2 linked regions of the Ovis aries genome follow. The protein of the gene in region 1 purifies or fractionates together with the protein of each later gene. This does not show direct contact. Links are inferred from orthologs where the notes say so. Each region holds a gene or a part of one and is shown on either strand. Other genes may lie near its edges. The genes, in order: GNAI3 and RIC8A.

Region 1 (4,267 bases):
AGTCACTAGGAAGAGTAGGAGGCTTGGAACTTTGAAGAACTGGCATTGACAAATTAAGGTGCATGAAGCTATTTAATGTGGTTTTCAAGAAATCCCTCTAATGATCATCAGTCACCGTATATATCTTTCTGTTGGGATCTTATATTCTAAGGTCTAGGTTCGATTGGGGAAATAATATTTAATCATAGGGAAAGGTCTTGGAGGCTGCAAGAGTTCCCCTCTCTAGAATGTACGGTGAATGTTTTTGTGGGGCTCTTTGGAAGTAACGGTAACGTAGGGCTACTTTCACCACAGAATCCAGGATTATGAGTAAAAAGGGTATCAGTGTGGGGCTTTCATAGGGGATTTATCAACTTCCAGGTGATACTATAGCTGAGAAACAAATTTTACTATGACTTCTCTTTTCGTGTGTTACCACAACAGGAAATTTTAATAGAGATTCACAGGATGCACTGGTTTGTTTTAGGGTGTGGAACTTTGGTTGACTAATCTTGGTAGAAGTCCTAAGTCCTTAACGCACGACAATATGTCAGGGCTAAATCTGGCTTGTGTGGGGGAAAGGCAGCATGGAAATTTCATGGAAAAACCACATTCTTACCTTATGTAAGATCTGTTACCGATTTCAAGAGATCCTTTACCGACATAGTAGCTGGGCAACTCAAGCCCACTAGGTACCAGTAGGTGAGCCAGAGAGGGCAGAAAGGGACTGCAAAGTCCCAGGCATGGTGGGTCTTAACTTATTCCAGATGTGGAGCGTGACTGCGTCGAGGCCCCGACTGTAATTCGCATCCCATAGCTCTGGCTGGGACGACGCCAACAGACAAACTATCCTACACTTGGTCTCAGATCTCCACAGCCAGAATTAAACTGGTTTTCTGGCCAGTGGAAAAATTCCCAGCAGAAATTCCCGTGCGGATTGCGGGCTTTTACTTGGGAATTTCCATTCCCCACGCCAATCGGCCGTGCGACCTCGGGAGGGTGCCTTGAACCGGAGAAACCAGTCCCTGGTATCTCTATATTCATCCAAATAAGACAGCCAAAAAGGTGAAAGGGGATTAAAGTCGAGCGGCGCCCGGTAAGCTCGACAGGGCCGCCCCACACCTCGGAACCGACGCTCGGCGTCCTGGTCTCTCTCTCTCCCCGTACTTCCGCTTTTGGTTACGCCTCCTTTACCCCAGCTAAGGAGGTCGAAGAAGTAACGGCCGCGGGCGTTGCCGGAAGTGTCGTAAAACGCCGGATATCCGGTTTCTCTGGGCGCCCTGGGAGCTGACGGAGAGGGCCGCCGCCCAGCAGTAGACTGTGTCTCCGCCTGCCAAGCCGCAGTCTCCGCGGTTTTTGAGTGAGCCCCGGCCCGGTCCCTTCTTTCGCCGCCGCCATGGGGTGCACGTTGAGCGCCGAAGATAAGGCGGCGGTGGAGCGAAGCAAGATGATCGACCGCAACTTGCGGGAGGACGGGGAGAAAGCGGCCAAAGAAGTGAAGCTGTTGCTACTCGGTGAGGGGCTGGGAGCGGGGCTGGCGGGGTGGTTTAGAGGGCCCAGGCACTTGAGAGTCCTAATGGGGGGTCGGGCCGGGCGGGAGGAGAGGACCCCGAAGAATCTGGAGGGCGTGACGGACGTGGGGCGGGGTGTGGGGTTGTGGCTGGTGCCGGAGGGCATGATGAGGGGGTGGGGTTTTGGGGTTGTAGGAATTAGGCTGGAAAGAGGGTGTGCCACCATGCTGGGATTGTGTTTAGCGAAGGAGCTTCTAAATGTGGTCCAGTAGGACATTGAGACTGTATTAGGAATATGGGAAAAGCTCATAAAGGAAGAGCTGATGTTAGAGAAGGTTTTTCAAGGGAAGGGTTAGAGTGAGTTGGTGTTGAGAACGGGAGAGTGTGTTGGGCTTGTATAATGGATTGTGAGTTTGGAGCGTGGTGATACTTTATGACATTAGAGCTGGGGGGCGGGCCTTGAATAATTAATATAAATAGAGAGGGGGTCTTGAACAGAGTGGTCACGTAGGACCCTGTCATTTAAAGAGTGGACATTTTGAGCTCTCGCTGAGGTGGAGGAACCCTGGGTCATCCAGGAACATAAAGGTGTATGGTTGAAATAACTGAAAAGTTCTCAGGTGTAAAGGGAAAGAGTTTGAGTGTAGAGGCTGTGTGTATTTATCCACTATTTCCTATTATTTTTATTTTCTTAAGGTTTTTTTAATAACTCCTTCCACTGTTTTTATAAGAGCTGGTGTGAGCTGAGGATATTTAAAGACTGTCTTGTTTGAGGTTTGTGGCATAGGATGTGATGATGACAATAGATTACACAGTGAGAGTTGATGAATATTTGCTAGGGATGGTGTGCAGTGGGAATGCAGTTATTTTAGGATAAATTATGGAATTGGACTTACTGTAAAAGATGTGATTGTGACAGACTTCTGTTGAGCTGGGGTTTTTTGTTTGTTTCTTCAAACGAAAAATACTGGCTTCAGGAGTTACTGTTTATTTTACTTGACATTCGTTTTAAGTAGTTTTTATGTACAGTCAGATGCATTTTACTCAGCCTGGTTGGTTTTAGAATTTTTGAGAAATTGTTTTCTAGAAGCTCAATGAATCATATAAAATACCCTGATGTCAGCTTACCAATAAATCAGGCCACATTTTTTCTTCACTGTTAGTATTTTCTGGGGATCTGTTAGGGAAGAATAAATGGAAGTAATGGTTTCTGTAAGCGGTAGAACTTTGCTCTTTAAAACAGTTGATTTTGGGGAAAAAGAAGTTGCTTTAGGAGAAGTGCCAAATTTTTATGGTGTGAAGCTCCAGAGGACAGAACGCACCACCGTAACCCAGGGTTTATTCTGCATTCAGGGTGCTCGTGCTAGTCTTTTCATGGTAACGTGTTTGACAGTTTGTAGATTGCAGAAGCCTTGGTAACAGCTTTTTGAATAAAGGGAGGAAGTTATGCACTGGAGTTTGAGCCTTCAGTTTGAATACTTAATCTTACAGAATGTATGAAAAAAAAAAAATTGAAGTTCCAAACTGCTACTCTTCCATATAACGGGTATCATTTGTGAATGAGCATGGTCCCTGGTACGTAGTAGATGCTTAAATATAAACTGTTAACCAGCGTGTGTCAGCTACTGTTGGACATAGCTCCTTGGGACCTTTCAGGTGTTTGATATAAACTGTAGTACTCAAGGCATTAGCATTGTTCCTATCAATCAGTTGGTTATGAAAGTAAAGGTGTGTTTTTATCTTCTGTGGTTATTTTGGTTTACATTCATAATCAGAGATCCCCTCAGGATATTAGGCTGTTGTAATACAGGACTTTATAAATAGTGCATTTAATTAAAAACAAAATTAAACACATGATCACTTAGGAAATTTCAAAAGCAGTAGGTAAAAATCAAAGTACTACAACATTTGCTTTTCCTTTTTAATCAATTTCATTGTTTTAAGTAAGTTTTTTTAAATATTCTTGAGCAAGTTAAATGAACAGATTCAAGCAGGTTGCAGAGAGAGATGTATTTGCTTGAGTCATGACATAACCCATATATGAAATTAAAGTTATCTTCTTTGCTATTTCTATAAACAAAATGCACTCATCACAGTAAACAAATTGTTTTGCTGTTGAATACCTCCTTTGATATACATGCAAGTCATTTTTACTTTCTCTCTGTAAAACTATCAAACTTGGTCTAAGTTGCAGGCATTGTTATTATTTTAACAAAATGAATGTTACCAATTATAGTTACTATAGAAATTCAGGAGGAATGCAGTATTATAATTGTTTTGTTACTTTTTGTTTAAATTTCTTTTAGATGTATTATTGAGAAGCTCTTGATATACTAGTGTCTAATCATAATATTCTGTAAAGAAACAAAATTATGTTATATGGGGCTTCCTAAGCAGATGGTAGTGCATAGGAAGGCTTGCAGTGTGCTGTTTGCAAATGTTTTATGGTTTTGAAATTTTAAATCATTTTTATGATTTTAAATCATTTTGTAACTAACTTTTCAAATTTCACAGCAGTTAGAATGACATTTGAACATTTTTGGTGTGATTCCACCAGTACACTTTCTGAGTTTGACAATTGAAAATATTTGATTTGGAAGATTTATACCAATTAGTGTTTAATATCATCTATAACATTTTATACTTTATTTTTCATGTCATAATTTTATAATATAAAAAAAAAATGTATGTTATTTTCATCAGGTCCCTCCAGTTTATTTGGCAGTCTATACAAGTATTACAATTTTACGCGTGCAGCATGATGTGACCAAAGTTGG
Region 2 (4,413 bases), on another chromosome or scaffold:
CACACGGGCCTTTCCCGGGCCAAAGAGGCTCCTCGCCGCGACCCCGCCGGGGTTGAGGCCCGGAGCGAACTCGATGGGAAGCCCGGTTCCAGTTACTGCCGGCAGGACAAACGAGATCAGTGCCTGGAACGAGCGAGCGGTGCAGAAGTCGCAGGAGTGAAGCCCTCTGAAGAAAACAAGGAACCAGGAAGAGGGGTGGGAGCGTGAGGGGAGTGGGTACGGGAGGAGCCAGCGCTTTTTGACCTTGCACGCGGTGCTGACAAGGGGCCTGACAAAGTAGATGCTTAACAAAGCCTTCTTGCCCGGTGGATGGGTTATAAGTTACCCACCCCCCGTAATGGAGCAATTGCTGTGCCATGTACTCGACAATCCACTGAAATGGAAACTTGTATCGTCTCTGCTTTTCAAAAAAGGAAACAGCCCAAGCAGACGAGCAGGTGTGCCTGCTTACACAGCAGGGAAGTCACCGCACACAGTCAGACTTTGTCTTCCTCCTGACCTTCCCCCCACCCCGACCCCGTCTCTCTTTTCTCTCAGCTCCAACAGTGATGTTTCTCTCTCCCTCCACGGCCATTCCCACCCTCGCACTGGCCACTCCTGCCTTGCAGAACCTTCCTTCGGAGCCTTTCCTGGCTCACTCCCTAGGCTCCGGTCTCAGCAAAAACTGACTGGCACTTCTTCAGATCTCCTTGCAGCCCATCAAGCCCCTTTTGTTATTCAATCACAGCACTATAGCTGCCTAACGTCGTCTTGTTTGCCCGTTTTAGTCTTCACATCCGGCACATAAGCGCCAAGAAGGCAGGAACCTGTGGGTTCTATTCACCCGCATCCCGGCTCCTCGCGTGCAGTAGGCACTCAAACATCTGTTTAGAAACCAAGTGGTCCGGAGGTTGTAAACTCCTTTCCACCTCGACTTTTCCCTGGACGTTTCATTCGTTCTGTGCATCAAGAGCGGTGTTGGTGTGCGTGTGATGGAGGGGTGCGGGGCTGAGGCCCTCTCCTGTCAGGAATCCTAGCCCAAGGAGTGAGGCTCACTGCTCGGTTCAGGGCGATTCTGGCCCATAAGTCGGACGATCACCGAGCCGGAGTTTAAGGCCAAAGCTGACTCGGCAGCAAAGTCTTCAAGTTCTATCCAGCTGTTCCAGGCCTCGCCCCTTTAAGGCGCCACACAGACCAGAGAGCTCTGCGCCCGCCGGGTCCCGGCCTCCCCTGCGCGCAACCCAGGCCCCGCCCCACGGCGCCGCGCACGCCCCGTCCCGGCCTCCCACGCGCGCAGCCCAGGCCCCGCCCCTTTAAGGCTCCACGCAACCCAGAGAGCTCGGCGCCCGCCCGGTCCCGGCCTCCCCTGCGCGCAACCCAGGCCCCGCCCCACGGCGCCGCGCACGCCCCGTCCCGGCCTCCCCCGCGCGCCGAGCCTGGGCGGGGCGGGCAGACGCTTGCCCGGAATCGCGAAGCCGGGAGCCTCCGGCCTTCCTGGCATCGGGTCCTGGAGGTGCCATGGAGCCCCGTGCAGTTGCGGATGCCTTGGAGACGGGGGAGGAGGACGTGGTTATGGAAGCTTTGCGCGCGTACAACCGGGAGGTGAGCGGGAGTTGTAGACTTGGGACGTGCAGAGAGGAGGTGGGGCCGGGTGGGGCCCGCGCGCGTGGCCGGCTGGAGGGGCGGCGAGAGCGGTGAGCGTGGCAAGGGGCTGAGGGTGGAAGGGAGAGCGATGGGGAGGAGCACCGACTCTCTGAGGAGTTGCGAGGGTGCCGGTGTGTGGGGCTGGGGCGCCATTTGTTCATAGAGGTGCCTTCGGCCTCAGGCCCCCATCCGCGGAACCCGGGTTCTGACGCGGTAGGCCTGTGCCTTCTAGCCTCTGGGTTTCTTTGCAGAACTCCCAGAGTTTCACGTTTGATGATGCGCAACAGGAGGATAGGAAGGTGGGTGCTCACCGGAGGTGGAGGGGCGTGATTGGGTGGCCCAGGTAGAAGGGCCTGGTGGAACGGCTCTTCTCCCTGCCCGCAGAGACTGGCGAAGCTGCTTGTCTCGGTCCTGGAGCAGGGCCTGCCACCCTCCCGCCGCGTTATCTGGCTGCAGAGCATCCGCATCTTGTCCAGGGACCGCAGCTGCCTGGACTCCTTCACCAGTCGCCGGAGCCTGCAGGCTCTTGCCTGCTATGCTGGCATCTCCGCCTCCCAAGGGTCGGTCCCTGAGCCGCTGAACGTGGATGTCGTACTCGAGTCCCTTAAGTGCCTGTGCAACCTCGTGCTAAGCAGCCCCGGGGCACAGGTCCTGGCAGCAGAGGCGGGGCTAGTGGTGAGGCTCGCAGAGCGCGTCGGACTGCACAGCCGGAGTAGCTTCCCGCACGACGTCCAGTTCTTTGACTTGCGTCTTCTGTTCTTGCTAACTGCACTCCGCACCGACGTGCGCCAGCAGCTGTTTCAGGAGCTGCAGGGAGTGCGCCTGCTGACCAGGGCGCTGGAGCTGACGTTGGGAATGACTGAGGGCGAGAGGCACCCTGAGCTCCTGCCTCCCCAGGAGACTGAGCGAGCCATGGAGATCCTCAAAGTGCTTTTCAACATCACCTTCGACTCCATCAAGAGGGAGGTGGATGAGGTGAGGGCGGACCTCAACCTGTGGGTGGGGTTTAACAGCTTGGACATTTCCTGCACATGCTGCTTTGCTGGGTTCCTTCAAATTTCTGGATTAGGTGTGCTTAGCCAGTCGAGAGAAGCAGGGAACACCTATCTTGGACCGGTCTCAAGGAAGTTTTCTGAGGGAGTTGGAGAGCATAACTGGCTCTTGCAGCCTGGCTGGAGGGCTGTGTGGTGTGCAGGGGAGGCTGTGAGATTCTTCGTGGTGAGACTGAGTGGGGCTGAAGCACAGAGCAGCTGTGTGCCAAGGGGATCCATTGATTTTCTTAACCGAGAGTTCTCTTGAGGTCTCCTGGGAGAGGACAAGCACCAGGGTGTGCAGTAGAGAAGCATAGTTGTTAATGCATGAGGTCTTGCAGGGGTGTCCAGAAGGTAGACTCTCAGTTGGCAGCAGTGGGGCCAGTGGGGCGCGCTCTCACAGGAACTCCTGTCTGTCTGGTCAGGAAGACACTGCTCTATACCGGCACTTGGGGACCCTTCTGCGGCACTGTGTGATGGTTGCTGCTGCTGGAGACCGCACAGAGGAGTTCCACGGGTGAGGGGGGTGCCTGTCATGCGGGGGGGTGGGGAGGAATGGGGGTGGTTTGCTCACAGGTCGCTGTGGTGGTTCCCAGCCTTAGAGTCTTCATCCTTCTGGGTGGAACCAGACAAAAGTGTGTTTCTGGGGCGCTCCAGCACTTATGGTCTAGGATCGGAGGTGTGAGTCCAAGGCAGGACGGTGCCAGGGGGCCTTGGGTAGGGGCAGCGGGCGCTGTGGTATCGATAGGGTGGTGTGCTTCCTCACTTTCCTTCTTGGTGGCCTATGCCTAGGCCGGTTCTCAGTTTTAGCTGTGGTGCCTCAACCTAGATACGTGGTGGGTTGGGCATTTACAGGAAGTAGCACTCTTGCCTCTGGTACCTTGTTCTGCTGCTTGGGCCCCCAGACACTGGTTCACGGCATTTACGGCCCCAGCAGCTGGCAGCAGGGGTCGGTATTCACCAAGTGCCCCTTCCATCTGCCCCCAGCCACGCAGTGAACCTCCTGGGGAACTTGCCTGTCGAGTGTCTGGATGTTCTCCTCGCCCTGGAGCCACACGGAGGTTCCTTGGAGTTCCTAGGGGTGAACATGGATGTGATTCGTGTCCTCCTCAGCTTCATGGAGAAGCGTCTTCATCAGGTGGGCAGGGGGACTGCTGTGGCTTTGGCCCAGGTTTTTGCAGCTACTGTGGTCACTGTGTTTTTGCTGTCCACACTGGTGAGGGGAGATCACCTCCCCAGTGTGATTCGGGCGGTTCCTCCCACGTCATGGTCAAGCCGGATCTTCCTCCCTGAGAAGTCTGTGGGCTTCATCTCGAGGGCTGCTCGTGCACAGGGACAGTCTGAGTCCAGGGGCACAGAGAGGGATGAGGGGCAAAGTGCTTTCAGAATCTGGCAAAGGACTCATTTCTTAGACATCTTTGTGAATCCTCTTGAGGAGTCCTGAGAAGCCTCCCACCCCTACCCCCTTGAAGTGCCACCACGCTCCCCATCCCTCTCTGTGCCCCTGGACTCAGAATGTCCTTGTGCACGAGCAGCCCTCGAGATGGGCGTCAGCTGTGCCATGGTTTCGCTCGGAGGACCCACAGGCCCTTGAGAGCCCGCAGCCCCCCGCTCCCTGCAGCTGCACCCTGGGATGCTGACTGGCCGGCACTCTGACCAGCTTCTCTGGGGGTTTGCCGGCGTCGTGCGGGCTGGAGCACGGCAGGCCTAAGATTCAGTGCTTTGGGAATGGTCTTGTGTGCTGGTGGTTAACGACTTT

What was found.
Region 2: the proteins of GNAI3 (region 1) and RIC8A purify together in Homo sapiens (affinity purification with mass spectrometry; 3 studies listed by BioGRID and IntAct, counting the BioPlex papers as one, with this or other methods). This does not show direct contact. The link is inferred for Ovis aries from reciprocal best matches to the Homo sapiens genes GNAI3 and RIC8A.

What each region holds. Positions count from the first base shown.
Region 1 is NC_056054.1:86,784,190-86,788,456, forward strand, and holds the start of GNAI3 (guanine nucleotide-binding protein G(i) subunit alpha-3), read left to right. Parts: upstream 1-1,268; 5' UTR 1,269-1,375; coding exon 1,376-1,493; intron 1,494-4,267. UniProt on the Homo sapiens protein: Heterotrimeric guanine nucleotide-binding proteins (G proteins) function as transducers downstream of G protein-coupled receptors (GPCRs) in numerous signaling cascades.
Region 2 is NC_056074.1:47,475,097-47,479,509, reverse strand, and holds the start of RIC8A (synembryn-A), read left to right. Parts: upstream 1-1,430; 5' UTR 1,431-1,497; coding exon 1,498-1,581; intron 1,582-1,874; coding exon 1,875-1,922; intron 1,923-2,007; coding exon 2,008-2,598; intron 2,599-3,079; coding exon 3,080-3,171; intron 3,172-3,641; coding exon 3,642-3,792; intron 3,793-4,413.